4 linked regions of the Astyanax mexicanus genome follow. The main gene of each other region encodes a partner of the protein of the gene in region 2 in a complex. Links are inferred from orthologs where the notes say so. Each region holds a gene or a part of one and is shown on either strand. Other genes may lie near its edges. The genes, in order: polr3f, polr3c, polr3d and polr3k.

Region 1 (7,537 bases), on a different chromosome or scaffold from region 2:
TGCGAGCGCCCTATGCAGCTGCCTACGGTGTCTGTGTAGGTACATTTCTGGGACGTGCGCAACAGGATACGTTTAGTTTTGATGATGAAGTATAAATTGGCTTTAATCAAAAAATAAAACATCGGCATCAGAACACTAACCTGTGTGTGTTTTGTGGGCTGGGACCCAGATGCTGAGTTTAATCGCTGGGAAAGAAACCGAGGGCCTTTTCGAACCCGACGGGATCCACTGAAAGAATTATCTAAAAATAATTTATAAAATAAAAAAATAAAAAATATTTATTAATATAATTAAATCATACATTTTTTTGTAAAAGTCCTGAGGAAGCAACTAGCTGGACCTCTACAATATTTAAGCTTTTTTACTTTTACTTTATTTCTCCTTTTTCTGTTTATATTTGTGATTTTAAAAACAACCAATAATTGAAAAAATAATGGATTAACTAAAGCTGCTGTTGTATTTACTTGTAGTTACGCTTAATTGGGAGTTTTTTAAGCCAACTAATATAATTATAAAACATATTAATAATTATTAACGTTTATGAAAGCTAATGGTTTAGCATAGGTGGCTAAACAAGCTGGATTTTTAAGCCCAAAAACATACCCAAGTGTTTTCCAGAGGCCTCTGCATCTCCATTCGGAGAGGAGGTATGATTCTGTTAAATATACATATTTAACTTAAATTAAACAAAATTATTAAACAACAAGACACAAGTCACATTTAGAAGCACAATAAACTTAAAACGTGAATAAGTGTCACTTTAACTACCCTGTTACACAACATTTTTGGCTAAATAATATAAAATAATAGTAAGGAAAGACATTATTTTTTAATAAACATTACAAATTCTCAATACGCTACACAGGATCAATCACAGGACTGTTTTTTTTTACTGATTTGTGTAGATTTAAATGTAAATGTGTTTTAACGTGTTTTAAGTTAATAGAATAATTATTTTCTTCTACAGCCCAAACTTCGACAGCTGGGATTCTGTAAAAAGTGTGAAAAAAATATATATAAATTAAAAAACCTGCTGGGTGGAGGAATCCAGCTGGTTTTCCTCGTAGTCCTGCAGCTCGGAGGGAATCTGCTCCACCACGAAGACTTTAGTAACAACAGCACTCTGCCGACCATCACTGCAGAGAAATACGAGAAGAACCTGTCTGTCAATCTGAAGCTTAACAATAATGCACATATACAATACAGCAAATACTGGTTACACCCAAAAGGTGCATAGTACTAAATACTTCCATACTAAACCGTACTAAAGAACATGTTGTAAGTTTCTTAGTGCTTTAAGAGTTTGGTTTCTGCTCGCCATAGATCCGATCAGCCAATCAGCTCTGCCTCCTGCCCCGCCTCTAAACCCATACATCACACAGTGCTCCTCCCAAACAGTTTAGTCCACCTTTAAAGCCCTATCCGCACGGCATTAGTTTCTCTTTTATGTTTTTTTTTATCCTCTGTGATTTTATTAAAGTGTAATTACAGTGCGCGGCAGTGGACAAATAGCTATTTTATTAAAGGCGAGGAGATGAAACTCAGAGATGTGCGTCCGGACGGGACAGAGAAAAACAGTAGATAATTCAGCCTGTAATTTTCTCAGAGGACGACTGAGAAAAACACGTACATGATCGTTCTGGACAGGTATAAAATCACAGAAGATAAAAACCCCCATAAAAGAGAAAATTACCCCAAAACCCCCTGAGAAACTGATCCCATCCAGATAGAGCTTAAAATCAATGGTTATCAAAAAATGCATCTTAATATGATTTTTGAGCATATTTGAGAGAGTTGGACCTCTACCTGGTGACGGCCAGCGCTCTCACAGACACTTTCCCGCTGGGTAGGTATATGGGTTCGCTGTAGGTCATGGTGCTGCTGCCTCTAACCTCCGGCCTCCTCAACACCTCCGGTTTACTCCCGTCCAGCGTGTAGAAAACACTCACATCAGGAGAGTCTGAAACCAGAGAAACCCTTTAATTATACAGTTCATACAGTAGCTCTGCATCAGTGCAGGAAAACAGTGAACTCATCCCCACCTGATTTAATCTCCACAGGTGTGCTGGTGTCTATCTCATGCTTGGCTTTACCAGGAGGCGGCACTCGGATGGGGATGATGAACGGAGCTGTGATGGAGCCTGCAGTCATTATCAGTCAGAGGGTGAAGCTGTTCAGAGGGACCAGCGCTCCAAATAATACGCTCTGATATTCTGTAATGAAGACAACAGCATCCATGAAGGATTAAAACATTTTTTTAAATGTACACAAAAACACTATATTTAAAAAATCTCCCGCAGAAGTGCAGGTAGGATATTTACATTGGTTAAATTACCAGTACCAGGTAACGTTATGGTCTAAAAAATATTTTAAAAATACTTATTGTTTAATAGTTTATTGTTTGCAATATTTTTATTGCAAATTTACTTTTTAAATTGCAATTTACAGTATTGTAACTTTCAAGCAGGTGGTTTAATGCACACAAGGAAAACGAAATGATTGTTAAAACACATTAAAACATAAAAAACATGGTTGGGCGCATGTGCAGTGCGCTTTATTATTATGGGTCCCAATAGTAGAGATGGGATGAAAAAAAAATCTCTATTGCAATATATTGAATCATTTACAATGCATTATTGATATATGGTGTAAAATATCACTATTTTTATAAAAACACAGGCTCTCTAAACCCCCTAAGATTTGCCCTCTGATTAGACGTAATGCTTCATCACTCCACAAGATAATTAAATGAAAATACAATTATATAATTAAATTTTATTTCTTTATAATACCTTATTGCATTAATAATATATGTTTAAATTAAAATAAATGAATAAAATGTGTGTTATATCAAGTCCAAAGTCAGTGCAGTTTTGTTTTCCCACAAAATCTTACAGCACTTCATATCTTACAGCTTCCCTCTGCTACTGATAACTTTTATGGAGATGCAGATTTCATTTTCTAGCAGGACTTGGCACACTGCCCACACTGCTAAAAGTACTAATTGGTCTTAATATATAATATTATAATTTTCTGAGATCCTAATTTTTGGGTTTTCATTGGCTGTAAGCAATAATCATTAACAACAATAAATACACACTTAAAATAGATGACTCTGTGTTTAATACATCTATATAATATATGAGTTTCACATTTTGAACTGAATTACTGGAATAAAGTTACTTTTCAATGATATTCTATTTTTTGAGATGCACTAGTATACTTTAAAATGTTTATACCTGTAGTGTAAAAGCTTTAAAAATGATAAATTCAATTTTTTTCTCAGTTGCTCCAAATAAACCATTAATTGTTGTCTCTCTCAGGAGCGCCCTCTAGTGTCTGATAAACCCGGAATCTCCTCTCTACAGATTCTCTACAGATATATAAGCCTCAGATCTGCAGTAAATTACAGATCCTGAGGGAATACAGGTGTTAATCCAGGTGCGGGTCTTTAGCAATGCTCAGCTCCTCACCTGTACCTGTGCTCCGGGTTCAGGCTGCAGATCTCCTGCATGTGTACCGTATCCACCGCTGCAACAACCATCAACTACACCGCACAGCAAAACGCGCTGCTATTGGTCCAGCGCGTAGCCCCTAGCAACCGTGTCAGCCAATGGCAAACGACCTTAGCTTATATGTCAGTCACAGAATAAAAAACATTTTTTTTCAAAGTGTATATTTGTTTATTATTCATTTAAAACAGTAAAAAAATACAATTTTTATACTTTTACAAATAAAAACATTATTATATTATATTATTTTTACGGTATTGTTCTTGAATGTTCATCCAACAGCAGATAGACTCTGAACAGTCTCTGTAACATCTCTATTCAGCTAGATAGATAGATAGTTGGTAATATATATATATATATTAAATATACATATATACATATACATATAACATACAGATATAAAACAAAAGTATTCTAAAAACATACGCATACATTACAAAAATATGATTGGGCGCATGCGCAGTGCGGTTAAGAAGCGTCCAGCTGGTTTTACAGTGCTTCTCGTGTTTATTTTTTGTTTTTGTTTTAAATAGAGACGACATGAACGAGAACTGCTTTTTTATTATTAAAAATAAACTGTAAATACGCTTTTATCTGAGCAGTTCATTTTTAAACAGGCTTTCCGTGAGACTCCTAAACCGAGCGGAACAGGCTGTGGGAGGGGGAAGGACCCGGTGTTTTGTCAAATTGTGTTACTTTGCCAAACCGTGCTTTAAATAAAGTATATTTAAACATAAAATACACAAAAAAACACTATATTTTTATCTCCCGCAGAAGTGTAGGTAGGATATTTATATAGGTTAAATTACTGTATCAGGTAACGTTATGGTCAAAAAAATATTTTTAAAAGACTTATTGTTTAATAGTTTATTATTTGCAATATTTTTTTATTGCAAATTTACTTTTTAAATTGCAATTTACAGTTTTGTAGCTGTCAAGCAGATTAAAAACACATTAAAACATAAAGAAAACGTTTAAAATATGGTTCAGCGCATGCGCAGTGCGGTTTAGAAGCACATATCGACGGGTAGTATTACTGGACAGTACACCTGCGGCACGCTGTTTCTGCTGTGTTTACAGTGCTGTAAATGTGGAGAGGATCTGGATGTTCTGCTGTATCTAGAACCCAGGTTCTGATCGGTCAGCAGTGATGGGGGATGTGAAGGTGAAGAAGGAGAATCCGGATCCGGTGGATATTGAGAACAGGTGAGTTTCAGTAGGCGAGATCAGCCCTGGGTTAAAGTCTGATCACTGAAACCTGCAGGTTCTCAGACTCTCCAGACTCTAAGAGAGCTGATCCAAGTGTATCAGTACATTTTAGAAATTTTTGAATAGTAAATAAAAACGCAAATAAAATAAAACATGTTTAAAAGTTAAAAAAAAGTTTTATTACATTGCATACAGTATAAACCAGAGATCCCAACTTTCATTGAAATCCAGGGAGTCTCCCAAATTTTATTATGGGTTCTCTGATGCCTGCAAAATATATTTACTATTCCACCGATTGTGTGCTATTTGCTGTTGTAACTCTTCCAAATAAAACTTTTATTATTTTTTTAAATCTTTTTTCAACTCTAAATCTAATATTACACATGTTTAACTATTCCAAACATGTACTGGTCAAACTCAGGCAGCTTTACTTCTTTTTTTTTTTTTTTTACAAGTTTCTAATCTGAAGATGGTTACAAAACTCACGTGTCATTTAAAAACATGTTTAAAAGTTTATAAGTCGACTAATTCCTTTAATTTTTCACTCAATAAAGTCTTTATTTTAAAGAAATGGCTATAGACTGCATGTTCAAATAATTAATATTTATCTAAAAAAAATACAAAAAAAATGACTCCTGTTCAAGACACTCCCTCCTGTTACTGGCACTCCCTCCTGTTACTGGCGCTCCCTCCTGTTACTGCCGCTCCCTCCTGTTACTGGAACTCACTTCTGTTAATGGAACTCAGTCCTGTTACTGGAACTCACTCCAGTTACTGGCAGAGACTACTGTTAATTAAGCATCGAATTAGCAAAAACATGAAAAATAGCTAAATGGCGTGTGGACACTGATCACATTCTAGTGATTTTCTCAAAATTTGTATTTTAAAAAATATAAACAAATAAGATCTAAGAACTAATTTAGGTAACAGGACTGAGTGTTAAAATTGGTCTTCTTAGTCATAGTTAGGGTATAATATAATAGAATAAAATTGGAATAGCTGTGGTTGACCCTCTGTGTTGGAGCATTGATCTCTACATTAATCAGAACAGGACCTGGTGAGGTCTAGTTATTTTAGATTCTACTTTGAATTATATAAACAATTTACATAATTACATAATTTTACGCATGTTTTTTTTTTTTCTGGGACCGATAACGTTTTTATTTGATAACTCTGTAGTGTGTCTTATCATAAAACAAGGGGTTCTAACCGGATCATTTATGATGTATAGAAAATTATAGAAAATTATAGAAAAAGCTTGATGATGTATATTAATTTGATTTGTGTTTAGGATTAAGGAGCTCTGTCAGCAGTTTCCTCATGGCATCACTGATCAGGTGATCCAGAATGACCTGCCTCATGTGGAGCCCCAGCAGCGGGCCATGGCCATCAACCGGCTGCTGTCTGTGGTGAGTGTTCAATACCTGCACAGGTACTAACAGACCTGGTGGAGGAAAATCAAGCCTTTATATATTTGCTGTTTATTTATATATTTGCTGTATATCTTTGCTGTCCAATGAAAAAAAAGTATCTCCATTTTTGTCGATTTTAATTTACTACATAATTTGAACAGACAAACTGTCCTTCACACTGTGCCAAAATTTCTTGATGAACAGACTAATAGAAACTCTTCAAAATGACCTGAAATAAACTCTTTTTACATTGACTTCCATTGAAAGTTTACAATGTTTTTTTCTCTCTCCTGTAAAGTTGCTGTTTTGGATGGAGATAAGTGTTTTTCATTGGACAGCGACGATATGCAGTAAAATAATATATATATAATATACAACCCTGAATCAGTAAAAGTTAGGACAGTATAAAAGATTTTAATAATTAATTAATTTTAATACATTTAAAATGATCAATTTAACAAATTATATAAGTTATGCCTAAAATCATGTTTTTAATTACACACACAGTGAGAGAGAGACAAATAGACCATCATAAATGACAGAAGGACGTTTAAAGGAGCTAACCACTAACCTAAAATGAGTTTTTGCAGGGTGGGATGTCACAGAATATTGTCATGATAAATCAGATTACATTTTTTAATCGAATGACACCACTAGTTTGAAGATTATATCATCATTATTTAAATATTTGTTTTAATCTGAATAAATATTAATATTTAATTGTTCACATTCTTAAAGTAAATTTTGCATTATGATCTGCAGGGCCAACTCGATCTTCTCAGAAACAGCAATGGCTTGTTGTACAGGCTGAAGGATGTCCAGTTGGCAAGGTAAAAGCCTTTAACTTATTATTAAAGAGTATTTATATAAAGATTTATATGCTTTTACAACATGTTTTGATGTTTAATGTGTTTTTATGTGTTTCCAGTAAAATGAAGGGCTCTGACAACCAAGAGAAGCTGGTTTACCAGATTATTGAGGATGCTGGGAATAAAGGTAAATAACCTGCTCCTAATTGTCATTGTCAGGGTTTTTGGGGGGCTACGTGGAATCAACACGGGGTCTGAATACATATCATTATGGTTTATTATGGTTTGAATCCTGGTTATGCAGCTTGCCACCAGCTGCCGGAGCCCCGAGTAAGCACAGTTGTCCTTGCTCTCTCTGGGTGGGTACAGTACAGTAGATGGCGCTCTCTCTTTCCCCATCAGCACTCCTAGGGTGATGTGGATCAGCACAAGGCTGCATCTGTGAGCTAATGTATCAGAACCGAGTCGCTGCGCTTTCCTCCGAGCATTAGTGCTGTGATGCTACTTGAGGCGGAGTCTGAATTCATATGTGTTGGAGGAGGCGTGTGCTAGTCTTCACCCTGCTGGTGTTGAAGCATCACTAGTAATAGGAGAT
Region 2 (7,252 bases):
CCCAGGGCTGGACTTCAGGCCTTTTTTTACTGCAGGCTGAGGAAGAAACCGGTCCTGCTGGAGTTTCAGCATACCATCAGAGTGAGCGACAGAAAACCAGATTAATCATCTCACCTGGAATCTTCCGTCACCTCCTCGATAAACCCAGAGTCACAACGCGGGCAGATATACTCCTAAACACACAAACAAACAGACATTAGCATTCTCCAAAACTCCGGCAGCAGAAACGCCACGTAAATAACTAAAACTCACCAATTAAAACTAGCTTTATCTTTAATATTTCTCTCTCTATTATTGTAATTAACCAGCAATAAAATACCCATATCTAAGACATTTGTATTTAGTTTGATACTTCTGATACTAAAAGCTTCCTCGAATGAACATCAGTTAATAACAGATGTTGAAAATACTGTATATTACAACACTAGACCAGTTTATTACAGCTGCCTCTTTTACTCACTCTAAACATTTAACTACTATAAACATTAAACTATTATTATGTTTATACGGTAACACATATATATTACGTTTATACGGTTATTTCAAGAGATTCTACACTACTTAAAATAACTACACTCTAATACATTTTTACATTAAAAGCTGAAATGTGTTGCTCTGTAATAATAAAATATACCGGCCAAACATAAAAGAATTTAAAACGAGACACAAATGAAAAACTAATATTAGACCAAATTTTGATTAAAAGTTTACTTAGCAAATAAGAGCTGGCCTGAAGACTCTTATTATGAAGATCACAACAGTGGATTGATTAGCCACGATGACTAAAGGCTAACTGGTGATGCGAACTATATTTCCGATCTAAATTAACCTCTGTTTAATAAGAGTGATGTCGCTGTGCTGTTAGATTAGTAGATCCTGTTGTTTGATTTGATGTGGATTAAATCTGTACAATTTTCTATCTTTCGTTTTTATTATCAGAACTCATGTAGTTTCACTTCTAGTGAACCTTTTATACAGTTACACTATATAAATATCATTTATTTAGTTGCAGTTGTAAATGCTGAAAACTGAAGCTGAATATGTTTTGCCACATTACTAAAAATATAGTTATCATAAATATACCCTGAAACACTGTGATATTATTTTAGGGCCATATTGCCTCCCTGGTGAATATAATATATTATTGTGTTTTTTGTAACAGTTTTGAGCACATTTTGGAATTATGAATAATAAACAGTACGGTAACTGTGGTGAGACACCATGTCTAATAGTGTTTTACACCTGTAGTTGGTTTCTCTGCTCTAAACCTGCTCTAAAGTTTGTTTACTGGGAGAGTTTCTCCCTCGGTTTGGTTTGTTTTCACACAGGTACAAACCTAAATGCAGCAAAGCGCTTCCCAACCAACCACGCAAGCACATTCTCCTCTAATTGGCCAGAGCTGTCTTAGCAAGAAGGTAAATATAGCTAGAAGGTTCTGTGTTCCAGACCACTGTGTTTAGCTGCTCAGTGTGAAGCTGATTTAACACTAAATGCTGGAAATTTGCTAGTTTTTTTAAATGAGATGTTTGTGCAGTAAACACAGTTGCATGGCCGTGAGCATTGAACGCTGCATACACAGCGTTCAATGTCAAACAGCTTGGCATACAGCAGCAGCAAAGATTAGTATTAGTTAATAGCTGTAGTAATTATCTGGGTAATAAATCAGATTAAACTGCACCTGAACCGCAGTTTAGCTCAAACATAAGGAGTATATCTGAATATCGGGTCAGATCACCTTCTCACCAAAAACAGAACCACACCGGAGTTGGTTTAGAGCAGGACAGAGACACCTGCTCTCACGGGTTCACACCAGCCATAAACTGCAACAAGAGTCCAAACCAACCGGAGTCCGTTTTAACTGGACCGAGCAGCGCTGGAGAGAAAAGGCTTCTCAGAGCAGACTTATCAATCTGAGTGTCAAAATACTGCTATATAAAAAAAGTGTTAAAATAAATTTACCATACTTAGATTACAAAAACTTAGATTAATTTATATAAATTAAGGACACAGACTTGCTCGGACCACTGTTCATGTTCACCACTGATTTAACACTATCAGATACAGAACTGTGCTCACCAATATATCCACTGCTACTCTAAACAATACCATTTACTGCTCACATTACATTTTAGAAAAGCTCACAGTGTATAATCTGAGTGTTAAAAATTACTAACTATGACAACACTAAATCAAGCACTTCTGACACCAATCTTCATATGTAAACTATTCCTTACTTACACTGAGTTACTGCAAACAGAATCACATTCTCACACCCATAAAATAAAGACTTTGAGCTAAATTAACTTTAAAACTAACTTTACACTGAACCTGCAAACTTCAGAAAAACAATCTGCTTCCTGTAATGATCATCAGTGACAGGTGTTTACATAATGTACATAAAAATATCAGAAATATGCTTAATATTCATAACATCTTTATTACAATATTTTGTACTGAGATATATGGTGATATGCCAAAAGTTAACCACGAAATACAACACAAACACAAAATACAACACACACGATTGGTCACATTTCAGAGGAATTCCCCTTTAAACTCTTTAATATTTAGTTTTATTTCACTTTCAGTTTGTTTATGGTTTCCAATCAGGATCAGCTGCTTTCTGTGCTACCAGCCCCACACACACACACACACACACACACTTACACAAACAGCTAATGCAGCTGATCCGGATTTCAGGAACTGAATTGTGATCAGTGTAAACTCGGAGAGCGGCAATGTTTTGAGGGTTCTGATAGCTGTGTGTTGTTACCACCACAACAAATCAATAAATTATTTCAACACATATTAAACCGCAATTTAATCCGCATTAAATCCCAAAAGTAAAACAGATCAGAACAGAGGAAGTTCTTTTATATCACTTTCAGTTTAACTGTGGCCTTCAAACTCGAAACCCCCCTAACCCAGATACTCTCTGAACTAACGTTACTGAACTACAGTACCAACTCACTCTCACACCGGATTATATAGCACACAACTATAAACCAGCGGCCAAATCTGGATCTCAGAATCCGAATTGAGATCACAGCAACAGTGGAAACACAGCCGCCGCTGCGAGCCTTAGACCGGGTTACAGCGGAAGGAGGTGAGTTTAACAGCTCGGAAAAGCCACACAAGTGAAACATAACTTAAACCGCTTTATAGTCCGCATTTAAACCCAGAAATAAAGCTGTAAATCCGGTTCTGGTTCAACCCAAAAACAACGGCGCTAACCCGAGCCGAGCTGCCCCAAGCAGGACAGCGGGCAGGCGGCGGCGGCGGCGGCACGAAGCGGGAGGAGAGCGGCGAGCGGACGGCGGTTCTTACCGGGAGTTTGGGGCTCACCTCGCCCTTACAGCAGTGACAGAAGAAGCGGTGCGGAGGAACCGCAGCAGCCTCCGCCATCTTACACACAGGGGGAAGAGGGCCCGAGCGCTGACGTCAGCGCCGGGGCGGGGCTAGGCCCGTGACGCCGTATGTGCCCGTTCGATTGAATTCAGCGAACCGACTCTTTTGATTCTTAGCTTTTTGATCGCGCGCCGTAACCCCCGTTTTCCTACAGGTCGCGCTGTGCTCCTGTTTACACAGATATTATAACTAATTTAATTTAAACTCCGAATTTCAGCTCTTATACGATGCAACCAAAACAACGTTTATTTAATGTTATTCAGGCCCAATCACTTAATTATTTACATTTCCCCAACCTCACTTACATTCAAATACACTTTACTCCTGATTGGGTATTCACATTTTCACATTCTCTTTTTAGAACTGTCTTCTAACGTATGCATATTTATATTATATTTCTATGTCACATCAATCACTTTCGTAATCAATGTCATTGCACATTGCACTTTACTCTGTTAATTATTTAATTAGCATTAGCAACATCTGCACTGCTCCGTTTAGAGATAGATCCTTACCTTGTATAGTTAGGTTTTTATAGCCTTATATATTTTCTGTTCTTCTGTGTTTTGATTTGTCTGAGGATGTTTCTTATTGTATTGTGTTGTTGCTGCTGGATGCCTAAATTTCCTTCGGGATAAATAAAGTATCTATCTATCTATCTATCTATCTATCTATCTATCTATCTAGATATTCTTCTTTTTATTATTATTATTATTATTATTATTATTATTATTATTATTATTATAAACAGCAATAACAATAATACTAGCGATAGTTATTGTTTGTGCGGATTTTTGAAACTGCACAGAATCGGCTGGTGATGGATTTGAATCAGTGAATCAGTGAATCGGTTCTGTAAGCGCGTGTGAGGTGTGTGTAGTAGCCGGTGTGTGTGAGAGGGTTTATAGATTAATCCAGTATTAAATTCTGTAATAATTCAGTTCCTGCCCGGTTTATTAAAGCGGTGCGGAGCAGCACTGCAGTGCAGACCGGAGACCCAAAGGTTAGTACGGCTCTTTATTTACTGGGGAGGCGGAGGGATACTTACCTACAGCCCGAAAGCCGCAGCAGCGCTACCCGGCTAAATCCGCCAAATCCGCCACCTAACTCAATAACTCAACCAACTAACTCAACTAACTCAGCTAACAACTAACTCAGTATCTCAACTAACTCAGCTAACAACTAACTCAGTATCTCAACTAACTCAGCTAACAGCTAACTCAATAATTAAACTAACGCTAACTAACTAATGTAACAGCTAACTCAGTAACTCAACTAACGCTAACTAACTCGGCTAACAGCTAACTCAGTAACTCAACTAACGTTAACTTACTCAGCTAACAGCTAACTTAGTAACTCAACGAACGTTAACTTACTCAGCTAACAGCTAACTTAGTACCTCAACTAACGCTAAATTACTTAGCTAATAGCTAATTTAATAACTAACGCTAACTAACTCAGCTAATAGCAAACTCAATAACTAAACCTACGCTAACAAACTCAGTTAACAGCTAGCTCAATAACTCAACTAATGCTACCTAACTCAGCTAACAGCTAACGTTAACTTAGTAACTTAAAATTGTGTGATTTTAGTGTGTTTATGTGATGTGTGTAAGTGTGTGTGTGTGTGTGTGTGTTTAGATGACGGCGCAGGAGGTGCGGTTGTGTGGGCTGCTGCTGCAGGAGCATTTTGGGGAGGTGGTGGAGAAGATGGGGACGGAGCTCCTGAGGAGTGGAGCTCTAAACCTGAGAGCTTTAGCCCATCAGACCAGCACCCCACTCGACCTGGTACTGTACTCTACTATACTCTACTATACTCTACTGTAATGAGAAATATTTTAGTGGGTGTGGTTTGTACACTACAGGACTAAATAATTACACAGATGATGAATTATACAATCTTTCACCAGGAGGAAAACATGGTGACTTATTATTACAGTACCCTCCCCCTGACCAATCACAGCTTTATTACAGAACATGCTAAGCTAAAGGTTTTTTTTTATTTTTTATATAACTTTATTTATAGGTTTTCACTTTTCACAATTTTACAAACAACAACCCAGATCCCACCCACCCAAGGGTACACAGAACACAAACAATACAAAATTAATAATTAAATGAATGATAATAATACCAAAATAGTAACATTAACAACAAAACACAATAATGGTAAAAACAGTGACAGTGATACCAAAACAAAAACAAAAAGGTCTGCTGCCTTGAGGAACACCTTAACATTTAAGCACATTGTATGGATTTATTTCTGAGTGTCATTTTATAATAAGTGCATGCTAAGCTAAAGTTAATCGACTGGACGTAAATTGTTATACTCCAGAACATGTTGTGCGGTGATGGTGTTTGTGCCGGTCTAAATTCAGATTTTTAGCAAAATGAGCCTAGCGTCTCCTGCTATTAACTAAATAAGCACAGCTCAGAGAGCAGAACTGTGTTGGCTGAAGAATTGTATCTGGGGTTTGAGATGATGGCTGTGTGATTTTGCTCCTGTAAGAACTGTAATAACTTATTATTCACTAAGCTCTGGCTCAGATAACCTTATAGCTCCAGTTAATTGTCTGTAGATTTTTGGTTGAACTTTCCCTTTAATGATCTCCTAGGTGAAGAAGTCTCTGTGTGTGCTGGTCCAGCATGGGATGTGTGTGTTTGGACCGGGCCGCCGGGGTCCCGGGGGTCCGGTGGAGTACACGGCTAACTGTGAGCGTATTCTCTACATGCTGCGCTACCCACGATACATCTACACCGCCAAGAGCCTGTACGGAGACACTGGCGAGCTGGTGATCGAGGAGATTCTCCAGAGGGGTCAGATGACCATGAGCTGCACCGTGAGGACCGTCGCCGACCGGCTGACCCACAGCATGGAGGGTAAGTGTGCGGATGTAGGAGTTTCCAATAAAGTGGCCAGAGAGTGGAAGCACAGGGTAGTGGTTTCTTATAATAAAATTAAACAGTGATACAATTCTGTGTGTGTGTGTAGATGGTCAGAGTATGGAATACAGTGAGGTCATCACTGCGTTTACCCGGTTGGTGGAGACCCATTTCCTGCAGCGCTGCCCTCCAGTGGACAGTATGGGAACAGCTGGAAAAGCATCTTCAGGATCATCGGACGCTTCCGCTGTTCCCCAGCCTGCTCGGCCCGAGACTCACCCAGACTGCTATCTAATACCACAGGTCCACCTCACCGGTCAGTATCTAGAACCTGGTTCCTAAAATTGCTCTTAGTCTATACAAAACCTTTGGCTTTACTAATGATGCCGGGGTGCAGCGTGCTGGATTCACTGCCTCCAATTTTGAAAAGGTTGGGGCAGTTTTGGAAAATATAGATTTTAATAAACCACAGTGTTTCTTCCATTTACTTTCTTTTATTTGTCACAATCACTGGCCTGTTGTGTAATGTAATATAAGGCTTGTGTTGTGCACAGTAAATTTGTAAGTGGTGTTAGTAAATTTAGTAATTCTGTATTGTAGAGTTTGTTGGTGATTAAGTTGTGTAAAGTCATCTCTTGTGGTTTTATTGTTTTTTGTTAAATGACGGTTTTTGATCCAGTGCTGTTTCCACACGGTCCGGACTTTTTCTGATTTGGGGATGTAGATTACAGTTCAGTTGCCTGTCAGCCACCTCTCTCTCTCTCTTTCTCTCTCTTTCTCTCTCTCACTTGCTCTCTCTCTCTTTCACTCTCTCACTCACTTTCACTCTCTCTTTGTGTACTAAACAATTAATCTCAATAAGATGTTTCCTCAGATTTCAGTTGTTACAGTTTTGGGTCTCATAAATAGTTCTGGGGAAAAGATTGTTAAAGGACTTTATGCAACACTGAAGAGATTATTT
Region 3 (7,043 bases), on a different chromosome or scaffold from region 2:
TCTTCTTTAAACCTTTATCTTTAGGGAACCAAATGTGGTTATTTTATTTAACAAATTCTTTTTAACACTGAATATAGACTCCTCTGCATGACAATAAATTAAATAATATGAGGTCATAAATGTACATAAGTGTATTACACAAACATGAACTGAATTTGTCCCCTTGTACCTGAAATAAAAGGATTGATTGGTTTGGAGACAATGCTGCCCTCTCTTTTCTTGAACTTCTCTACTTTCTCCCTCTCCTCTGAGCAGGACTCCAGCTGTCCCTCACTCTTCAGAGCCTGTTTCTGCTTCTCGTAGGCCTTGGGGAGTTGAAGCATATAAAAGAGAGGGAGAGATAAATACTAATATTGTAAGGATTGTAGTATAATATACAGAACGTAAAGAGTTGAGCTGCAGTCAAAGCCTTCACAAACCTTCATCTTCTTAGCAATATCCAATTTCTGATGGAGAATGTACTCCAGTATTGCCTCTCTTTCATAGAGGAATCCATCTTCACTGTAAAGCAACAGACACATGAGAATAAAGATCTAGATCTCCTAGAGAATTATCTTGTTTTGTCTTTTTGATGTTTATTTGTATGTTACAAAAGGACCTTGGTTTAACAACCCCAGAAATATCAGGACAGTGATTATGAATTCAATTGTGTATTATAATAGAAAACTACATAGGAAAAGCTAAGATTTAAAAAACACTGTCTAATTAATAATTTTAGGTTATTTTAGAGTAAAGGTTTCTAAATTGTTTTAAATTATTAAAACATAAATTCTAAATTTATTAAATTATTATTTATTTTTATTGATATTAAATAAAGACTAATAATTCATTGAAATTATGGAACCTTTTAAAAATCAAGATAAAGACAGAAAGGATAAAACATAAATATATAGATATATAATAAAATATATACGAGACATATAGAGTACCTGACTAAATTTGGACACACCTTCTTATTCAGATTTTTCCTACATTGTAAATGAATGCTGAAGTTATCCAGACTAAGAAGGATAACATAAGGAATCATGTAGTAAACATAAGTGTTAAAAAAACCAAAATAGTGAAGCATTTAGGTGGCTTTTATCTGTGGTGCAGTTAACTTGCTGTTAACTTGCTTTAAGGTGTGTCCAAACGTTTATTTGGATACTGTACATGAAGATAGAGATATAAAATATGTGGAGGTTGCAACATAATATACATATATACATAAAATTGTTAGCATGCAAGTAAAATGCTGTGCAATTAAATAACGATGAAAAAAAATCCAATTTATTATTTTTATTATGATCACTTTTCATATTAAGGCATTATTACTAATCGTAATTCTACAGGTGCAGATTCACTAGTGTTTATTGGACAGTACATCAAATGCCAGTTTTCGTGTTGAGGTCAATGCAACCCCTGTTTCCACTGCTGTAAATTAATTTTAAAAAATAGCTGTACAACATATTTCACTCTTAATGATCCAGACATATTAACTACTGAATAATACAGACATCATGCTCAGTTAAATCCCATATATTGTTTTAGCTGTATCTAAGTTTAAGTTTATAACTTGTGAAAGTCCACCTACGTTACAACCGGGTCTCTGCAGGGCTGTAATGAGAGGCAGCAACAGTCGAAATCTTTAATCGCGTCTTTCCCCAGGCGCACACTCTGAGTTCCATATCCAGAAGCAGCTGTAGGGAATAGACAGAGGCCATCAGAAGACAAAACAGGAAGACAGTTCTGGCTCCCACATCATGTTTTAATTGCGGTGAAAATTATAAAAAAAGAACAGGAAGTAGGAAATAGGTAGTAGGGAGTAGCAAGTAGTGAACAGGGAGTATGGAACAGGGAGTATGAAGTAGAGAGTAGGAAATAGGGAGTAGGAAGTAGAGAACAGAGAGAAAGAAGTAGGGAACAAGGAGTAGGAACTAAGGAACTGAGAGTAGGAGGTAGAGAACAAGTAACAGGGAATAGGGAGTATGGAACAGGGAGTAGGGAGAAGAGAACAGGGAGTATTGAACAGGGAGTAAGAAGTAGAGAGTAGGAAGTACAAAGTAGGGAACAGAGAGTAGGAAGAAGGAAACAGGGAGTAGGGAGTAGAAAGTAGGGAACAGGGAGGAAGGTCTTCTTAAAGCTCACTTTTTTCACATTATTAGCAAGTGTTTTCTTAACTGGGATTTGTTTACATTATAGGATAATGGAGTCCACTGTTAAAAAAGCAGACATGTGAACAATTCTGTGGTTTAAATCACATCATGAATCATAGACTCTTTTTAGGACTTTAAAATTTGGGAGCTTAAAATTTGAAAAAAAGTCTTAATAGTTAATATAAATTGGTGAATTGGGTCGAGCTGTTACACCTTCTGGACTCGTTCTGTGTTTCTGCAGCTGTATTTGTGCAAAGCTGCAAACAGAGAAAAAAAAACATTTACACATTTTAAAGGAGCCAGAAACAGACCTGTATCTTTCCTCTTCTCGTGGTAGGTGTACACAGCTCCCGCAGTGCAGTTCTTCCCGTGTCGGGTCATGTTTGGTTTTCAGGGGCTTTAATGAAGCAGAATTATAAGATTACACTTAGCTAGCTACCATCAACACAACCAACACTATTAAAACAGTTTAACTAACTAGTTAAGCTAGCGTTAGCAAGACATAAAAAACCAAGCAGTACAAACACTCCAGCTAGTTTAGCTAGCTAACATAGCTTAGCTTGCTAACAGAGCTGCTCCTGTACAACCAGGTTAGCGACAATACAGCTAACTGAAACAGTGCGCTCTTCAACTGTAGCTCGAGGTAGCGGGATAGTAGACGTCAATTTATCAGTATTTAGACTGTTTTTACATCAGAGGTATAAAAATAAAGTACTTATAAAATATCAACCGTGCAGTTTGTTTACCTCGAGCCAAGCTGGCCGGAATAGGAAGTGACCCACCGGCTTGAAAGCTTTTTCAAAATACAAGTGTGACAGGCTTCATAATTGGACAGGAAATCTCCACATCATAAAATATTAATTACATGTGTTATATATAAAAGATTGAAATGTATGTAGTGGAAAACCGCTAATATATTATGCGATAGTTTATAAATATCGATTTAATGCAGATATACTCAGAGATATAACTTACTTTTACAGAAGACAATACCCACTTGAGAATATGTTCTGGGTTTGTCAGTCACTAGAGGGCACTCCAGAATGATTCCAAATGAATGAGCTCATAGCAATTGAGCAAATCATAGATTGTAAATGGTTTATATTTTTATATTGAAAAATCTCAATTTCTCAACACGGAACCATATTAAATGTTTCACATAATTTTAAAGCTCCAGTACGCGGTTACTTCAGCGTCAGCTCACAGACAAGTCATCACACAGTAGCAGTATTGCTAGTGTCTCTGTTTACCAAAAACATTTGTTGTAGAAAAATGTTTTGCTTAATTTTAGCAAAATACTGTAATATACTTTACAAACAGTAAGAATATACTGGTAGTAAGTAGTAGACACTATTATAAGCCATTTAGCTTCATTCACCACCATTTATTAACACATGCGCTCCATTTACCGTATTTTTTATATAACTGGGGAAATTGAAAATGTGCAGAAAATAGTCACAACTGAAAAATGCTTCTGATAAAACGTAGGGAGTAAGGACTAGTGGAAAAGGGAGTAGCGAGAGGAAACAGGGAGTAGGGAACAGTTTGTGGGGAGTAGGCATAGTAGACAGTGAGGAACAGAAGTAGGCATTAAGGAGTAGAGAATAGGAAGTAGGGAATAGGGAGTATGAAATAGGCATTAGGGAGTAAAGAGTAGGGAACAGGGAGTAGCCAACAAGTAGATAGGAACAGAGACTAGGCAGTAGGGAGGCACTATTGGAATTGGAAACAAGCAGTAGGGAGTAGTCAACAAGAAGAAACAGGAGGTAGAGAGTAGGGAACAGGGAGTAGTCAGTAGGGAACAGGCAGCAGGAAAAAGGACTAGAGAGTAGGCAGTATGTAGTAGGGAGTAGGGAACAGGGAGTAGGGGTAATGCCGATTTGAGCGCACCGACATGTTTTCCGTCACTTCCTCTTTCGTGTCGTTACTAAAACTCCGCCCTATTCTAACTTGTGTCTCGTGAGATTTATTTTTATTGGTTTAATTTGGAAACTCTGAGGAGCTCAGGTAGGACAGCAGGCAGCTCGCAGGTAAATACCTCGTCGTTTTCTTCAGTGGCAGTAAATTATGAGCTAAACTAGCCCGCCGGCTCCCTGTTCAGCGGCTGAGCGGCCGGCAGTTTAGCCATGTGTTGCCATGTGTTTACAGTGAGGGAGGGAACTGCAGCCGCTCAGCACTTTTAAGTTACCTGTAGCAGAACGGTTACATAAAGTCCCTGTGAGAAAACAGTGTAAACAGCGAGGTCTGCACAGTTAATTTGGTGGCGTCTTACTGCTGTCAGGAAATATTTTAAATAAAAGGCACAAATAAGGGACTTACAATAGCAAAGCCAAAAAAATAATAATAATGAAAAAAATGGAATGGTGGTGATTTTGTGCTTATTGATATTGGGTATTTTAAGTAGTTAAAACTAGTGTGTATTTAGTGTATTTTGCCAGTTTGAATATGCAGTTTGTGGGTTATGAAGTTTGACATTAATCACAATGAAAATTAACAGGTTCTGATCCAGTATGTAATTATCTTGAATTTGTAGTTTTTAAGTGTATAGATAATCCATACTGTTAATCCAGTATGAATCTACAGTTTGACAGTAATAACTTTAAAGTAATTTTAATATAGCATGAATATGTATATGTGTCTTATGTTTAGCCAATATAAATATATAATGTGTTTTCCAGCATGACTGTAGTAACTTGAGAATATATATACACTGACAGCAGTAATAGTGACCTGATTGTAATCCTGTGTGAATATTGTCGCTGTCCGCTAAAAAACAAGTTCCTCCAAAACTGTGACTTTACAGCAAAAGGCAAAAATTTTCATAATTTCCATGGAATTCAATGCAAAATAAGAGTTCATTCCACATTAATAGATCATTTCTATTGGTCCATTCATCAATAATTATTTACACAGTGTAGAGAGCATCCACAGGATTCAAGTCATTCACAAAACATAAAACAGACAGAAATGGAGGTTTTCATTGGACAGCAGTGATGAGCTGTATGTGTACTGTTTTATTTACTAATCAGTAACCATTATGGAATATTATGGAATATTAGTATGAATCTGCAGTACTTTACACAGCATGTAACACCATATTAACAATAGTTGTCGTACTGACTATGTAATGCAAAGCACTAAACAATTCACAGCAATGATTAAATGTCAAATTTTGCATGTAATTATAGTGTGAAAATGGCCACACCAGGCTCTGGTGATTCTGGACCACCCCGTACCCCTCAGCCTGGAGGTGGTGGCAGAGGTTCAGTGCTTGGCCGCAGGCTGCCTGCTGCTCTCTCTCCCGGTCGTCTCCCCACCATGCGCTCAAGAGACCTCACACTGGGAGGTGTAAAAAAGGTACACCAGATTGCATTGTTTTCACTGGTAAAAAAAAAAAAAAACAGTGTCAGTGTATTAAGCAACTGTGCTCTCTCTCTTGTTCTGCCCCACAGAAAACATTCACACCTAACATCATTGGTCGTAAAAGTAAAGAAGAGTAAGTTTTTACATGAGTGTATTGCAATCAAATGTCTTTTCCAGTGTAATATAATGACCCTTAGCTGGCCTTACTTTACAGTAGCTGTGCTGTTTTGTTGCAGATTGAAAGCTGATGAGGGACCCAGGAGAGAAAGGAAAGATGCGGATCGAGGGCGGCAGCGAGACGGGCGTGGCAGAGGTCGGGGTCGCCCAGAGGTCATTCAGTCCCACTCTATCTTTGAGCAGGGCCCTGCGGAAATGATGGCCAAGAGGAGAGGTATGATAAAATACAGGTCAGGGGGAAATGCAATGACAAGAACCACAAAAAATTTAGTATTACTCTACCATCTATTTCCACATGCTTCTATCACTTCTGATGCCAACAGTGTATCTCTCAGCTTATTAACAAATGCATATGTACAGCCTGTTCATGAGTGGGAGCACAAAACTCAGTTTGTATTTACTGCAATGAAATAGAAGTGAATTACACTTCACAACTGTAGGGGAAACCCAGGAGAATAATACTGCTTTAAACTAGTATTAATAAACAGGCTGGGCCAAATTAAATACTCATTTTTATGCTAACTATACAAGGTCAGCCATTTAACCATTTGACCATTAAAAATAAAGAAAAATAAAGAAGCACGAATGTGTACTTTATGTAGTACCAGTAGTTCTCAGCAGTAAAAGAGAATCATGCATTTTTCTTGCTTTCTGACTTTTTGTTTCTTTGTTAGGTGTATATGATGATGCAAGAGAAACGCCCAACACTGGCCCCTCCCCCATCATCAACATTAAGAAGGAGAAGAGGGAGACTGAGGAGGAGACCAAAGAGATTCTGCGCAAACTGGAAAGAGACAACGTAAGTGTGCTTATGGGGCATGAATTCCAAAAAGGGAAATAATTAAATATCTAGCAATGGCAGTCCAGACTGAAATGTGATTAAAAGGATAATGTTTTTAAAAGTTATTTGTCTTCATAATTTCTAAAGGCCAGAAACGTTTTATAAAATAATAATATTGTAACAAAAATAAAACAAAATATAGCCAAAAGCGGCAGTCTAAGTTTAAGCACAAACTGGCACAATGATGCCTACTAGAGTAAAGGTTGGTGATGTTTCAGAAGGTCTAATACAATTTGGGACACACTGTCACATTTTGGAGATGGTCAAAAGGCTTTCATCTGTTATCATTGTTTATCAGAGTCCTTAAAACATAATCAGTGCTTAATTTTATATATACAAATCTGTTGAGGTTTGTAGAATATTCATTCATATTCGTTAGAATGTGCCAAAGGTTTTCCACATGTTGTCATTGTTTATCAGGAGTGTTCAATTGGAAAGTTCACACATTTTTTGTTTTTCCAGATGACCTTTTGACCTTTTCAAAATACGCTAAAGTTTTGAAAAAACTAGTCAAACTGACATGAATA
Region 4 (7,009 bases), on a different chromosome or scaffold from region 2:
GGATCCATAAATAGTCAGTCCATACAGATCCACAGCCGGCTCAGTCTCTCCAGCGATGGCCACACTGTGGACTGCAGCACTTGTAGAAGGTGGTCATGGGTTCATCAGCAGATCTGGTCTGAATCTGCATGAAGTACGCTCTCGGGTGCTCACACTTCGGACAGGTTTCTGAAGATTAAAAGACAGGAAAAAGTTATATGATAAAGTTTATTTACTGCAACTTACTTTATTACTGTTCCTGCCCTCAATCTAAATATTTTTATAAATAATTATGTATTAATATTTATCATAAATGTCAGCAATCAGGGTTCCTCAGTGTAGCCCTTTCAGGAGGCATTTGCTAGCACTAGTGGTTAGCCACAAATGCTAATGCTAATGCTGCTGCACCCAGCCTTAGTGGAAATCTGGAAATCTAAGCTTACTGTAAATAAACAGAAACGCTTTAAATATTCTAATAAATAAATAGGTATGAATATTCATCATAAACGTGAGCAATCAGGGTTCCTCAGTGTAGCCCTGTCAGGAGGCATTTGCTAGCGCTAGTGGTTAGCCACAAATGCTAATGCTGCTGCACCAAGCTTTAGTGGAAATCTGGAAATCTAAGCTTACTGTAAATAAACGGAAGCGATTTAAACATTCTGATAAATAAATATATATGAATATTCATCATAAACATGAGCAAACTGGATCAGAATCACAGAGAAATCATTAGAAATTCTAGTAAAATACACATAATATTTAAAATCAAATATACTGTTACTGATACTGTTCACACTGTAAGGCTTAAAATCCTTAACACTTAAAAGTGCTCCTTATGTATGAATTCTATCAGTCAGGTATTAAGGAGCAGTAAAGCCTCTCCGCTGAAGTACAGAGTTATACAGGAGTTTCAGTTTAGTTCTCCAGCAGTATTAGCACTAGCTGCTAACCAAGCTAAGCGCTAGCTCTTTTGTAGTTCAAAGCAGAGTATATCAGTCTGTAGTCAGCGTGTTTGCCGTGTTAAAACGGGCCTACCGGAACACTCAGGGTTCCTCAGTGTAGTGCTGTCGGGCAGCATTTACTAGTGCTAGCTGCTAATGCTAATGCTGCTGCACCCAGCCTTTGTGGAGATCTGGAAATCTAAGCTTACTGTAAATAAACAGAAGCGCTTAACTCACCCAAATTAGACATCATCATAAACATCCAGGCCATATCTTCCATATGTTAATTCTTTATTTAATCATTTATTGATCATCAATATTTACCTGCTGTGGAATCCACGTTCTCCCAGGCAGCAGCTCCCCCGAGAACATCGTCCACCTCCTTCAGTTTGGGGTATTTTCTGTTATTCACCTGAAAGCAACAAATAAAATACAAACATCCACATCAATATGGTAATCAATAAAAAAAGAATATAACACAAACGATATATACACATTTAAATGCAAATGTGAACTTTAATACAAAGCATGCATATAAAACCATAAAGTTTAATCAATGTTGAATCAACATAAAATCAATGTGCACAAACAAATCAGTTCTGATGACGGAGGTCAACCTTTTAGTGATGGAAAAATGAACGTTGATTAAACATTTAAGGGACACTTGCTGTGCATATTGAGAAGAGGACAGATGTCAGCCATACAGACAGTGCAGGTACACAGGTATGTAATAATTTAGCAGTGCAAATTTGAATGGGGTAAAATAATAAAAAAGATAATAAGTTTGAGATACAGTTACAAATCTATTGTATATTATATTTTCAGCTAATCAATTTCAGCTGCATGACAAAGAATATTATATAACCAACTAAACACAAATTACCTTACTTGTTTTTTTCCACTTACTAAATACTGTACTTCTATACACTATACTACTATATACTGTACTATATACTGTATTATTATATACTATTCTACTATACACACTATACTAAATATTGTATTATTATATACTAAACTTCTATGTACTATACTGCTATATATAATTTACTATACTATATACTATACACTATATTACAATATACTCATATACTACACTACTATATACACTATACTACTATATACTGTATTATTATATATTTTACTGCTATATATACTTTACTATATTATATACTATACTACTATATACTGTACTATTACATACTATATTACAATATACTCTTATATACAACACTACTATATACACTATACTAATAAATACTGTGTTATTATTATACATTATACTGCTACATATACACTTTACTATATTATATACTATACTACTATATACTATACTATTACATACTATATTACAATATACTTTTATATACTACACTACTATATACACTATACTACTATATACTGTATTATTATATACTATATTGCTATATATACTATATTATATACTATACTACTATATACTATACTATTATATACTATATTACAATATACTCGTATATACTATACTACTATATACAATACTATAGTACTATTTACTATACAATACACTACATAACATACTATTATATACTATACACTATACTACACTATATACTTTACTATACTATTATATAATATACTATATACTATTTATCAAAACAGTAACTTAACTGCAGGTTGCTAAATCAACACGTGTTTGGGGTAAATTCAGGATTAAATAGGTTAAATTCAGTGATTAGAGAAATGAACAGGATCTAACAATAGAGAATATCCTTATTAAACAGGTTTTATTACTAATATAGAGCTGAATATTAATAATATTAGTAATATATAGATTTACCTTCCTGGTGATGTTGTGAATGTAAGGGCAGGTATTGCAGGCGAACCGGTAACATTTCTGCCCTTCCTCTACTATTAACACATTCCCACAGGCCGGACAGAACAGCAGCATCTCTATATAACTCTATACTAACTCTATATAACTCTATAAATTAGTTTAATGCTCTAATTCCAGCAGAATTGCTGGATATTTCTCACGGTTAGCTCCTCCTGCTATCTGTGCTAACTACAGCAGTGCTCCTCAGTAACGAGTCCGACTGGAAACAACACAGACTAACACACAGTCTGAAAAACAGCACAGATTAAACTACTGTAAAATCATACCAGTTATAGCAGTTTATCAGTATTTAATACAGTTTTAACACGTATTAATACATTATCTTGTTTAAACGTGTTGTTAATCTGTTGTATGATCCAGTTTCTCTGTTCTTTTGGACCCAGGTTCAGATATTATAGCTGCGTGTTGCCGGCCGGCGCTGTAACGCGGGGACACGGTAAGTGCTGTGTTTGTTTGTGCTGCAGTTTATTCTGATTTAATTCACTTATAAAGCGATTTATTAAGGATAATAAAGAAATATAAATCTATTATAGACACCCAGTGAGGCCTGAGTAAAAATAAACACTCATATTTCCTCTCTAACGTGGTTAATTTAGCTCATTTATCTGCTTTTCTCCTCATTTACAAACATTTTGGTCAGTAATCCCAAAATTGCTGTGTATTAAAATATTTTAAATCAGTTGCTGAAGGTGTTTTAACGCTGCAGTTATGATGCAGTGTGAATACAGTGCAGAGAAAAAACTATTTACCCACCTACTTTTGCTTTTCTTTCGTTTTTGCTTTTTTTTGCATATTTAATTTGTACAAACTTTAATATCAGACACATGTGAACTAAAAAAAATGCAAAAAGCAGGTTTTAACCCCTTTTTATGGCATGGTATTGCTTTCAGGCAACAAAACGCTTGCTGTTGACTATTGTATTATCATTTCAGTGTGTTTATTATTATTGTGACTATTTTGTTTTCCTTTTATGACTAAATATATATATATATATATATATATATATATATATATATATATATATATATATATATATATATATATATAATATTTTTATTTATTTCTTTTTTTTTTCTTAACTTGTTAAGTTGCAAGACATAATGTTGCCCTGGGCACCCCTAATAATTTTCATGAATTTCCTTTATAAATCATTGGTTGTTCGGATCAGCAATTTCAGTTAAATATTTCATATAGCAGACAAACAAAGTGATATTTGAAAAGTGAAATAAAGTTTATAGGATTTACAGAAAGTGTGCTCAATAATTATTTAAACTAAATTAGAAAGAAATGCTGATCTGAACAACCAATGATTTATAAAGAAAAAACGTAACCACATTAATCACAAAAAACGTAATGATGAAACTGGCACTCATCAGGACCGCCCAATAAAGAAAGAGCAAGAGAGTCTCAGAAACTACAAGTTAACAGCCCCCCAGATAAGAGCACCTAAATGTTCACAGAGTATTTTGGTGTGATTGACACTTTTAAGTTACTACATGATTCCTTGTGTGTTTTCTTTCTTTAAAAAAATAATTAAAAAAACATTAAATCAGAAGCTGTGTTCAAATTTTGAACTTTGAGACTTTGGTACTGTATTTGTAGAGGTAACAGAAAAATGTAGCCCTAATTCTAGAATGTGCCGTATAATCGTTTATAAAAGCATTTAATAAATAATTATAATCTATAATCTCTAATATTATCTGTTGTGTATTTGCCCACAGGTGACCAGAATCAGATTAGCAATCCCCTTAAAGTATTGACCACAATGGAAGAAGAAGACCTAAAGACAGAACCACAGACAGAAAACATGCTAGAGACTGAAATGATGGAGAAGAGTGCTGAAGACGTTTTAAAAGAGGAAGAGGAAGATGAGGAGGCGCTGCCTCATTCAGAAGTTTTGGACATCTTTGAGGAAGGGCTGGCTATGATGGTGCAGGACCCTCTACTGTGTGATCTGCCTATACAGGTGTGTATAAGGGGACATACAGCTCTGGATAAAATGAAGAGATCACTTCAGTTTCTGAATCAGTTTCTCTGATTTTGCTATTTATAGGTTTATGTTTGAGTAAAATGAACATTGTTGTTTTATTCTATAAACTACAGACAACATTTCTCCCAAATCTGACATTGCAAAGACTGTTATTAGTGTAAAAATCTCTTTATTTTAAAATGTTGTCCGTATTGCTGCCTCCTGGTGTCGCAGTGCTGTTAGCCAATCAGCCGCGATATGTTTGCATGTATGAATATTCATGAGCAAGAGCTGAAATCCTATAGCCTCTCCCCGCCCACTCCTCCACCGGACTAAAGCAGCGTTATACCAGATCAGTGGAGCACTTTTTTATTTTTTTTTTATTTACCCAAAAAACAGCTCTTACATTCATATTAGAGACCACAGACATATTAAAATAAAAAAATAAAAAAAACGATGGAATGAGACCTTTAATGCAATACAGTGCCAAGAAGTTGCAAAACAGTCAGGATTCCAATATGTGTATATTAAAGTCAATGAATAGAATTGCAATGAAAAAATGTCCAGGAGACATTAGTGAGATTCTGGAAAAAATTATCTATTAAGCCACTGGGATTTCAAATTGTATTGTTACATATAATGGTCTATTTACTGAGGTTTGTGAAGCGACACTGTCACATGGACAGATGCACCCGCCACCATGTTTTACAGTATTTAATGTTGTTATAAAAGGACACATAAAGCACTACCTATTGTTCTAAATTTGTGGTTAGTGAATAAGGCACACACTGTACTGTAACAATAAAGAATCCATTTAAATAGAACATTCTGTAACCATATTTAATTGATCTAATAAATATGATCTGATGTTAATTGTATCCTCTCTCTCCTGTAGGTGACTCTGGAGGAGGTGAACTCTCAGGTGGCTCTGGAGTACGGGCAGGCCATGACTGTTCGAGTGTGTAAAGCTGATGGAGAGATCATGCGTAAGTTAATTTATGTGTTTAGGTGTTGTTTCTGGAATAAACTGTAATGGATGCTTTGAATGATAAAGTCTTATTCTGTAAAATTTAAAGTGTACAATAAAAATCATTAATGGATTGAGTTTAATTTTCAATCAGCCATCGTGGTGGTGCAGTCTGCTACAGTGCTGGATCTGAAGAAGGCCATTCAGCGCTACATGGAGCTGAAGCAGCAGCGCGAAGGAGGCATCAAACACATCAGCTGGTAAACCTGATATACCAGTTCATCTAGTGATCCAGAGTGATCTATTTTAAGTGTTTATTTCTTTTATTGTTGAAGATTATGGCTTACAGCCAATAAAAAAACAAAAATCAGTGTCTCAGAAAATTAGAATATTATTATAAGACCATTTGGTACTTTTGGCAGTGTGGGCAGTGTGCCAAGTCCTGCTGGAAAATGAAATCTGCATCTCTATAAAAGTTGTCAGTAGCAGAGGGAAGCATGAAGTGCTGTAAGATTTTGTGGGAAAACAAAACTGCACTGACTTTAGACTTGATAATAAAACACAGTGGATCAACACCAGCAGATGACAGACATGTCTCTCCAAACCATCACTGATCATCAGTAAATTTTACATTTCATTTAAAGTAAATCAAGGGAGCAGAGTCTGGAGGAAGAGTGGAGAGACACACAGTCCAAACTGCTCGAGGTCTAGTGTGAAGTTTCCACCAATCAGTGATGGTTTGGATAAAGAGACATGACATCTGCACTGTGTTTTATTAAGTGCGGATTTCATTTTCCAGCAGGACTTTGCACACTGCCCACAGTACTGCCAAAAGTACCAGTTGTTCTTATATAATATTCTAATTTTCTGAGATACTGATTTTTGGGTTTTCATTGGCTGTAATCCTCATAATCATCAACAATAAAATAAATAAAAGCTTAAAATAGATCACTCTGTGTTTAATACATCTATATAATATATATAGATGAGTTTCACGTTTTCAACTAAATTACTAAAATAAAGTAACTTTTCAGTGATATTCTATTTTTTTTAGATAAACTAGTATTTATTAAAATTAATCAATTTAATAATAAAATGACTTTTCGTTTAATGTCTTGTGTAAATTACAGTATCAGAAATGTTTATTTCTATTTTTTTTATTTCTATGTGGAAGGAAATATGTGTGGAGGACGTTTCACTTGGTATTTAATGGAGAAAGACTAGAGGAGGACAAATGGAAACTGAAGGAGTGAGTACACACTGATGCACACCATGCA

What was found.
Region 1: polr3c (region 2) and polr3f share a complex: the UniProt entries of both Homo sapiens proteins name them as parts of the RNA polymerase III complex. The link is inferred for Astyanax mexicanus from reciprocal best matches to the Homo sapiens genes POLR3C and POLR3F.
Region 3: polr3c (region 2) and polr3d share a complex: the UniProt entries of both Homo sapiens proteins name them as parts of the RNA polymerase III complex. The link is inferred for Astyanax mexicanus from reciprocal best matches to the Homo sapiens genes POLR3C and POLR3D.
Region 4: polr3c (region 2) and polr3k share a complex: the UniProt entries of both Homo sapiens proteins name them as parts of the RNA polymerase III complex. The link is inferred for Astyanax mexicanus from reciprocal best matches to the Homo sapiens genes POLR3C and POLR3K.

What each region holds. Positions count from the first base shown.
Region 1 is NC_064430.1:23,772,279-23,779,815, reverse strand, and holds the start of polr3f (DNA-directed RNA polymerase III subunit RPC6), read left to right. Parts: upstream 1-4,535; 5' UTR 4,536-4,662; coding exon 4,663-4,718; intron 4,719-6,012; coding exon 6,013-6,130; intron 6,131-6,895; coding exon 6,896-6,963; intron 6,964-7,061; coding exon 7,062-7,129; intron 7,130-7,537. Other genes in the region: dzank1 (double zinc ribbon and ankyrin repeat-containing protein 1), read right to left, coding at 141-241, 604-655, 1,031-1,136, 1,807-1,960, 2,043-2,151. UniProt on the Homo sapiens protein: DNA-dependent RNA polymerase catalyzes the transcription of DNA into RNA using the four ribonucleoside triphosphates as substrates.
Region 2 is NC_064413.1:36,249-43,500, forward strand, and holds the start of polr3c (DNA-directed RNA polymerase III subunit RPC3), read left to right. Parts: upstream 1-4,251; 5' UTR 4,252-4,411; intron 4,412-5,049; coding exon 5,050-5,196; intron 5,197-6,023; coding exon 6,024-6,288; intron 6,289-6,400; coding exon 6,401-6,607; intron 6,608-7,252. Other genes in the region: rnf115a (E3 ubiquitin-protein ligase RNF115), read right to left, coding at 115-173, 3,328-3,405. UniProt on the Homo sapiens protein: DNA-dependent RNA polymerase catalyzes the transcription of DNA into RNA using the four ribonucleoside triphosphates as substrates.
Region 3 is NC_064426.1:19,991,564-19,998,606, forward strand, and holds the start of polr3d (DNA-directed RNA polymerase III subunit RPC4), read left to right. Parts: upstream 1-4,036; 5' UTR 4,037-4,165; intron 4,166-5,323; 5' UTR 5,324-5,330; coding exon 5,331-5,492; intron 5,493-5,587; coding exon 5,588-5,631; intron 5,632-5,734; coding exon 5,735-5,889; intron 5,890-6,349; coding exon 6,350-6,474; intron 6,475-7,043. Other genes in the region: nitric oxide synthase-interacting protein, read right to left, coding at 170-305, 420-501, 1,574-1,679, 2,447-2,516. UniProt on the Homo sapiens protein: DNA-dependent RNA polymerase catalyzes the transcription of DNA into RNA using the four ribonucleoside triphosphates as substrates.
Region 4 is NC_064410.1:60,607,049-60,614,057, reverse strand, and holds the start of polr3k (DNA-directed RNA polymerase III subunit RPC10), read right to left. Parts: upstream 3,002-7,009; 5' UTR 2,851-3,001; coding exon 2,740-2,850; intron 1,333-2,739; coding exon 1,245-1,332; intron 169-1,244; coding exon 41-168; 3' UTR 1-40. Other genes in the region: snrnp25 (U11/U12 small nuclear ribonucleoprotein 25 kDa protein), read left to right, coding at 3,148-3,232, 4,518-4,762, 5,661-5,751, 5,887-5,992, 6,907-6,981. UniProt on the Homo sapiens protein: Core component of RNA polymerase III (Pol III) which synthesizes small non-coding RNAs using the four ribonucleoside triphosphates as substrates. Can mediate Pol I proofreading of the nascent RNA transcript.